2 linked regions of the Nothobranchius furzeri genome follow. The protein of the gene in region 1 interacts with the protein of each later gene in a biochemical or structural test. Links are inferred from orthologs where the notes say so. Each region holds a gene or a part of one and is shown on either strand. Other genes may lie near its edges.

Region 1 (3,822 bases):
CTTCAGTAACAGTTTGTATCTCTTCTTAACAGGTCACGCAGCAAAGTCCATTTCCTCAATGTCATCTTATCCTTCCACCTCTTCATTTTTTTCCCCTGGTCGGGCAAAGATGAGCGTTTCCGGGCCGTCTTCTTGTAAATCCGTCCTCCCACCTGGCCCTTCCTCCTCTTCCTCTTCTTCATCCTCCTCCTCCTCCTCCTCCTCCTCCTCTTCTTCCTCCTCCTCTTCCTCTTCATCTGGCTCAGCTTCGTTGACACCTTCTGTCTCCCCGAGTCCACACAAGATCCACCGGGCCCGTAAGACCATGAACAGGCCTTCACCCGGCCAAGTAATGACTTCTGTTACACATTTTTATTCCCACAATTGTTTGTTGTTTTACTTTTTCTGAAAGGTTAGCATTTTTTTATTCGACAGGTGAGTTACGCTGAGACTCCTGCTACGTCGGGTTCCTCCACCTGCTTCTCTACTGACTCTGAAACAGGTAAGTTCTAAACTTCGATCATATTTACTCCTCCGATTGTTCTCCAGCACTCGTAATTACAGGTCCTCTTCTACTGTGTGGTTTTTAAATTAATTCAATGTACGCCGATCACTTCAGCTGGTTTTTGGATTGTTCGTACCGACCTGCAGCTTTTGGTTGAATCAGAAAACTAGTTTTCATGCAGAAGTCTCAGTTGGCACCACTCTGCTCAGGTGTTGCATGGCAGAATGAGCCAATCTTTGCCTCCTGATTCGGCTATATCTCTTAAACACATCGTTGCAACACCAACATGTCTTTTAAAACTCAGAAAATGCTCCTGAAATCTTGTTTTCCATGTAAGTTTGACTGTTTAAAAAACTAAAAAGGCTTTTTTTTCTCTTATAACTGTCACGCTTTGTGTTGTTTTTCTGTTTCCACCAGCTGCTAGAAAGAGAAAACTGGGTCATGTATCAGAGAGTAAATCTGAGAAGGGCGACAGCGTTTCAGAAAAAGGCCAAACTGTGGTAAGTTGATGTCTTCGTGTTTGATTTACTGGGGGGGGGCCGTAAGCATTTGAACACCTGAGGAATCGGCAGAATTCTGGCTCAAAGACATTTTACTCTAACTTCAAAGTCCACCTCTACTCCACATATTAATCTAAACTGGCATCACCTGTCTAAGCTTCTTAAGCACATCTGTCCACCTCACAGTCAGTCAGTCAGACTCCCAACTACTAACCATGGGCAAGACCAAAGAGCTGTCAAAAGACACCAGAGACAAAGTTGTGGACCTCCATAAGGCTGGAAAGAGGTACGGGGCAATTGCTGGGCAGGTTGGTGAAAATAGATCAACTGTTGGAGCAATTGTTAGAAAATTCAATTCAAGTTTATTTATACAGCGCCAAATCACAAGAGTTGTCTCAAGGCACTTCACATAATAAAGCATTCCAACACAGGCCAGGGGCCTCATTTATCAAGCTTGCTTACGCACAAAACGGGGTCGGAAAACTGCGTAAGCAACTTTCCACGCAAACTTTGGGATTTATGAAGGAAAACTTAGCGGAAAAATGTGCGCAACTTTAAGTTGACTAAGGACCTGGCTTACGCACATGTTGGACATGGAGAGCACCTGCAGTGCTGCTGCTGAGAAGGATAAAATTATGAAATCCTGCATTATTATCACTTGTACTGCTTCGTTTTCACACAGAACAAGACACCCCACATGCACACACATGCGCGTGCACACACGAGCTCGCGCACACACACACAGCCTGAAGTGCAGAATACGGAATGCAGAATATCAGCAGGGGGACAGATTGAGGCAGAATGTCGTGCGTCTGTGACAGTGTGTGTGTCTCGTCACTGTGATAAGATTGATCATGTGCCCTGGCTACTTGGACAAGAGAGATTACTGTTTGGCTGACTGGTTAGCGCGTGTGACTTTCACTCGGGAGTCGGGATCGACTCCTGTTTGGATCATTTTTTTATATCCGCCACAGGAACTCATCATTAAGCTCCTCGTGATTTTTATCTTGAAAGGCGCTATAGAAATGATATTTTCTCCTTCTTCTTGACGGCTTCAGCAACACTGTGCCACTCCGTGGATTTTCTCTTATTTGTTTTGCAAAAGCACTTCCTTTCATTTCGCCACCTCAACTTCTACTTGTGAAATTGGGCTTCCTTGGTCTGCCTTGATCTACGGTCGCCATGTCATTGGCGGAGCACTGCAACAAGCCGGCTTATGTATATGCATGAGATCCACAAGGCACTTTGCATTGAATATTTATGGCAGTAAGTGGGTGTGATGAGGGCGGGATGTGACCAAAAAGCAGCTGAGAACATTTGTAGATAGTTTCCGATTTATGGAGCAGAGATTGCGTGCAGCTGTGCGTACTCCATGTTTGATAGATCACAAACCTACTTGGTGTAAGTACTTTTTTTTTTTTTTTTTGCTGAGCTTAAGTACGGTTTTAGTAAGGATTCTACTCAATGTTTGATAAATGAGTCCCCAGTTCATTAAGCCAATCAGAAAAAAGTTTCCTATATAAGGAACCCAGCTAATTGCATTGAGTCACTGACGCTACAGCGATCCTCATACTAAGCAAGCATGCAGCGACAGTGGAGAAGAAAACTCCCTTTTAACAGGAAGAAACCTCCAGAGGATCCTGGCTCAGTATAAGCAGCCATCCTCCACGACTCACTGGGGATCAAGAAGATAGAGCAGACACACACACACACACACACACACACACACACACACACACACACACACACCAAGTAATGTTTCCATGGTTACATTGTGATCCTAGTGATTCTATAATTAAACGGGTAAACTAGTAGTAGCACATTCTATGTCAAAGAAAGTAAAATGTTATTATCAGGAGAGGGAGAATGTTTAAGTGGTTAGCAGCAGTGTGCTAGACGATGGCCCCCTCCATGAGGGCACCACAGCTCAGCAGAACATCGATGTAGCTTCTTCTGGGGAGAAAAACACTTAGAGAGAAAATAAAGTTAACAGCTGAAACAGCAGGAAATAATACAGTTAAAGAGCAGATTGTAGAAGAAAGTAGTCGAGTGTGGAAAGTGGTCAGTGTGTCCTCCAGCAGTCTAAGCCTATAGCAGCATAACTACAGAGCTAACTCTGGATAACCTAGCCTTTTACCCCCAAATTCCACTACCTCCGCTCCGCTCCGGTCCGGTCCGCCCCCGCCTTCCGCAGCCGCTCGCTTCCGAACTCAATTTTTACTGGTACCCGCTCTACAACGGCTCCGCTCCGGTGCGGAGACCTGAGGTGGGCAAACAAGCATGCGCAGGATTTTCGAGATCTTGCGATACAGTCCGAGCAATAAACGCGGAAGTTAGATCCAAACACCCGTTGTGTGGGAGAAGCATCAAAATGAACTGTTTAATCTGCCCATCATTTGTGTTGAGAGATCAGCAGTGTTTGGATCAACAAAGTGTGACTACTTTGATAGTAGAAACTGTATTTATGGCTTACTTTTGTGCATTTAAACTTCAGCTGCCACTGATAGTTGTTAAAAGTTGTTAAACCTGTGCATATGAAACAAAAAACGCCTTTTGTTTATCAATTTATTGTGAAAAACGGAAGTTGTGCTCGCTCCTTTTCCTGTTGGGCGTTTGTGATTTCTGTCCATTGACTGCGGAGGTGCTCCGGCGTCCGGCAAAAATAGGATCGATTCTATTTTTGCCGGACGCCGGAACAGAGGGCGCCGCACTGCCGGAGCACGGCCGGAGCACGGCCGCAATAGTGGAATTGCTCTGATTGACTAGAACGGGACCGATTTTGCTCCGGCGTTCTTGTCGGAGCAGAGCGGAGGTAGTGGAATTTGGGGGTTAGATGGA
Region 2 (3,822 bases), on another chromosome or scaffold:
TACAGCTTCTTAAAGGGACATGACTGTCATCCGCCTACACACATTTTCAGTTTTTATTATCACATTTATTGACATGAGAAAAACGATATTGGTAAGAGCCAGAAATTCAATAATGATACATTTAGGATTTATTGCCCAGCCCTACTTAAACAACCTTAAACAAGCTGTTTTTGCCTGAAAGCCCTCCAACGTGGCTGAGTAACAACAATAACAGAAAGACTAGTGGGACAAACCTCCTCCACTCGTTACCAGTTACCACAAACACTGCTGAGGGGTTTAAAACTGGCCATTTAATTTAAGGTTCAGCTAGTTGTCAACATCAGATCTGAGACACACAGAGCAGGATCACTGCTGCCATCCAGTCTTTACTCTGACACTTGAGTTTCTCGTATTTGTGTGACCGGCTGTGGATGGTCCGACTGGTTCATCTGAGGATGTAAATGGTTGTTTTATTCCGACTGGTTCCTGCCTGATGGGTGGCCCGTCTCCGCTGAGAAGGGATGGTTCTGTGGTAAATCAGCTCATTAGCGTGTGGAGGATGCAGCGAGTGACAGACCCGCGCTGATGAGTAAAACTTTTTAGTCGAGTCATTAACTGTCAGAAGACGAGAACTTGCGTTTCTCATTTCTGCTTTGATGATAAAGTGTTCATTATCTCCAGACTGTATAATCTTTTAAAGCTCGTCTTAAAACTGGCTTTTAATTGACTCGCCTTTATGCAACGTTCCTCTCATCATTGCTTTGACCTCTTTGTTTTATGACTCCATCTTTATTGTGTTTTACTGCTTTTGCTGTAGACCTTCCCTTTTATTTTTAATGTTTTTAACTTGGCGCGCTGTCAACGAGCTCCTCAACAACTCCATGAATCAGGCTTCGATTCCGAGTCTCAACGACGTGTGTGTGTTTTCAGGCCCGTCAAGAGTCCCCTCAAGGTGCAGAACGGTGTCCAGGAAGCTGATTCGCCCATCAAGAAGGTTGCCAAACGCAGCCGTCAAATCCTGGACAGCGATGAGGACGAGGCCACAGTCGTTAAAGAACAAGCTGCCACCAAAGAACACGAAGACAAAGAAGCGAAATCAGAGAAGGTAAAAGACACATTTAGTCTAATTATAGTCGCTGTAATTAAGAGCTCCTCTAGGCTTATCGTCGCCTGGTGTTTATTTAGTGATGTGAAACCAGTCACACACACCGGGCCAGCCAGTGTTGGAGACATTTATCAATAAGCCAGTTAATGAAAAGAGCTCTGGCTGTCGCTCAACCTCCTGTTATTTGATGAACACTCCTCTTAACCGCCTTGCTCGCTCTGTTTGTGACGTGTCAGCAATCATTTATGTTTTTCTCTTTGAGGGAAGAGACCGTGATGGATGCGTGGGGATGTCGGAGTGACCCACCTTCCCTCCTTGTTGATGTGTGGCCAGCTGGTTGTAATACATCCCCTCTTGGCAGCAGAGCCTCTCCACTTGAATTAAATGTTGGGCCTGTGTTGACAGTTAATTATTCATCTGTAAAACGTTAATAACACCTTTCTAATTCCACCAGAAGCCTTTGCAAATGGTTCACTGATCATCAGTGCTGTTGGCAGCACCTTATTTGTCGATGATTTTGAACTAAAATAACAGAAATGATCCTAGGCGGGTTTTCCCACGAGCATTCGCTGATCGCCAACCTGTAGCTTCTGGAAATGGACAAAAAGAGTTTGTTTAAAAATCCTGTTTAAATCTGGATGTGGGGTCGGTTGGTTCGCTGGAGTTTTTGACAATTAAAATTGCGCCCACATTTTCAAAGATAAACACATTTCTTTTAACAACGGTAGTTTCTGCATCTATACTGCTCCGCTTCAGCTCTCTCCCCCCTCCCCATGCGCAGTGCGCCTGCAGCCTCTCAGAGTTCCTGCTGCTCTAAACATTAAAATAATTATTTCATTTTCTGTTCCTCACTTCTGATGACCTTCAATGGTGTCTGTTTGTTGCAACCACCATGTACAAAAACTGACTTGTTTTTATTTGACTATTTTTCTGTCCTGTATCTGTTTATTATCTTCCTGCATTTCCTCTCAATCCTAAAGAAAAACTGCTACCTGGGTTCATATATATTCACCTTATGAGTTACATTTGAACTGCAGTTCTAAAAGATCTACCGACCGCAAAAACAGCGGAGTGCCGCTGTTCGCCGGCCGCATCAGTGAGGTGCATCACCGGGGGACAAAACAGGTGATGCGCCCTGCTCCACAGCAGCGAAACGCATCAGGCACAAAAAAAGACAGAAACATTAAAGGACATGAGCCGACATAAACAATCGCGTGTTAAATTAGTTTTTGAGGTGGTGACACCTGATTTGATAATGTTACTGTGGCGGTGCGCAGGACGCAGATGTCTGGAGCGCGTCAACGATCAGAGCTTTGCATGCGCAAGCTGGTTAAGGTTAGGATGGGGTGAGGGGAATGTTAAATTGCAGGAGGGTAAACATCACAATTTGTTGGTGTCAGTACTGACGCTCTGGCACAGCTCGTCGCCTCCCGACATGCAGGAGCTTGTCACCTGCTGTCTTTTCCGAGGACTGGATCTTGCCGGTCATTATCACGTGACAGCGACTAGTCGATGACAGGCATAAAAAGTCACTACAGAGCAGTGAAGTCGACTAATTCATACAACCCCTAGTGCCTCATATCTCTTTGCCCAATATATGTGGATCCCTTGGCTGAAGAGCACCAGATAAAAATCGTTTACACCCCTGCAGCACTTCCAGCATTTTTCCTATTTTCATATCTCCCAGGTGTTGACTTTTGCTAATTATTGTAGGTTGTTTAGTAATCAGAAGGTTTCCTGTTCCTTTCCTGGGAATGCTGCAGTTGTGTCCTTGGGCAAGGCACTTAACCCGACTTGCCTGTGTCGGTGGTGGTCAGAGGGGCGGTGGTGCGAAATGGCAGGTTGGCCTCAGTCAGACCTCCCCAGGGCAGCTTTGGTTATGATGTAGTTACCATCACCTGCAGACTAGTGGGTTCTCTGTGAAGCGCCAATATGAATCCAATCCATTATTATGATTATTGAAGAGGTGTTTCACTGAAAACAATATTTTTTAAATCTGATATCTGATTCTAATGAGTAACTCTGAGTTTAACATGCAGGCCGAACATGAAAATAGTCTCCTACACCTATCTGCTGCATTAGCTTCTGATAGGAAACCCCGACAGATCTATGTCACACTGTCACTTACATTGACCACGTGACGGGACGCAAGACCCAGTGCCTCCCTGCTTGACACTCAGCTATATGGAGTTGGATTGGGGGGTAAAAGCACCAAAACGTTCCTGAGTCCAGCTCGCCGCTCCCCACGGGGATGGGTTAGATGCAGAGATGTAATTTCACCAGTGTGTGATGGTAACTATGGGACTTGAGTTAGAACTGGTGTCACATGCATAAGATCTGAGTGAGAGAATAAAGCAACAGAGTTCAGTTTGAATCCTGAACAGGGTGAAAGCAGGTCTGGTGAGAAGTTTCGGACTCGAGTGAAACTTTAAAGGGCTTTACGGTTTAAACGCTAATAAATGGACACAAGCTTCTGCTTCTCTTCCAGAGTGACCATGTGTTGAAGGAGGTTTCCACCCCCCTGTCTCCACCAGCTGCAACTCAGTCCCCCGTTACCCCGGCAACCCCAGCCTCTTCAACATCCTCTGGGTCTCCCAGCACCCCCAGTTCCATCTCTCCATCTGGAATCATCAAACGCAAAACTGGTCAGTCACGTTCGATTCCCTCTGCTTTTGGTTTTTAGACTAAAAAAAAAAAGTTCATTTTTTGTTGCGATTCTTATAAACTTTCTGACCCGA

The links.
Region 2: of the proteins of ehmt2 (region 1) and lig1, one has a biochemical effect on the other in vitro, tested with the Homo sapiens proteins (3 studies listed by BioGRID). The link is inferred for Nothobranchius furzeri from reciprocal best matches to the Homo sapiens genes EHMT2 and LIG1.

The regions. Positions count from the first base shown.
Region 1 is NC_091759.1:8,513,648-8,517,469, forward strand, and holds part of ehmt2 (histone-lysine N-methyltransferase EHMT2), read left to right. Parts: intron 1-32; coding exon 33-328; intron 329-414; coding exon 415-481; intron 482-901; coding exon 902-984; intron 985-3,822. UniProt on the Homo sapiens protein: Histone methyltransferase that specifically mono- and dimethylates 'Lys-9' of histone H3 (H3K9me1 and H3K9me2, respectively) in euchromatin.
Region 2 is NC_091751.1:40,307,668-40,311,489, forward strand, and holds part of lig1 (DNA ligase 1), read left to right. Parts: intron 1-909; coding exon 910-1,084; intron 1,085-3,572; coding exon 3,573-3,729; intron 3,730-3,822.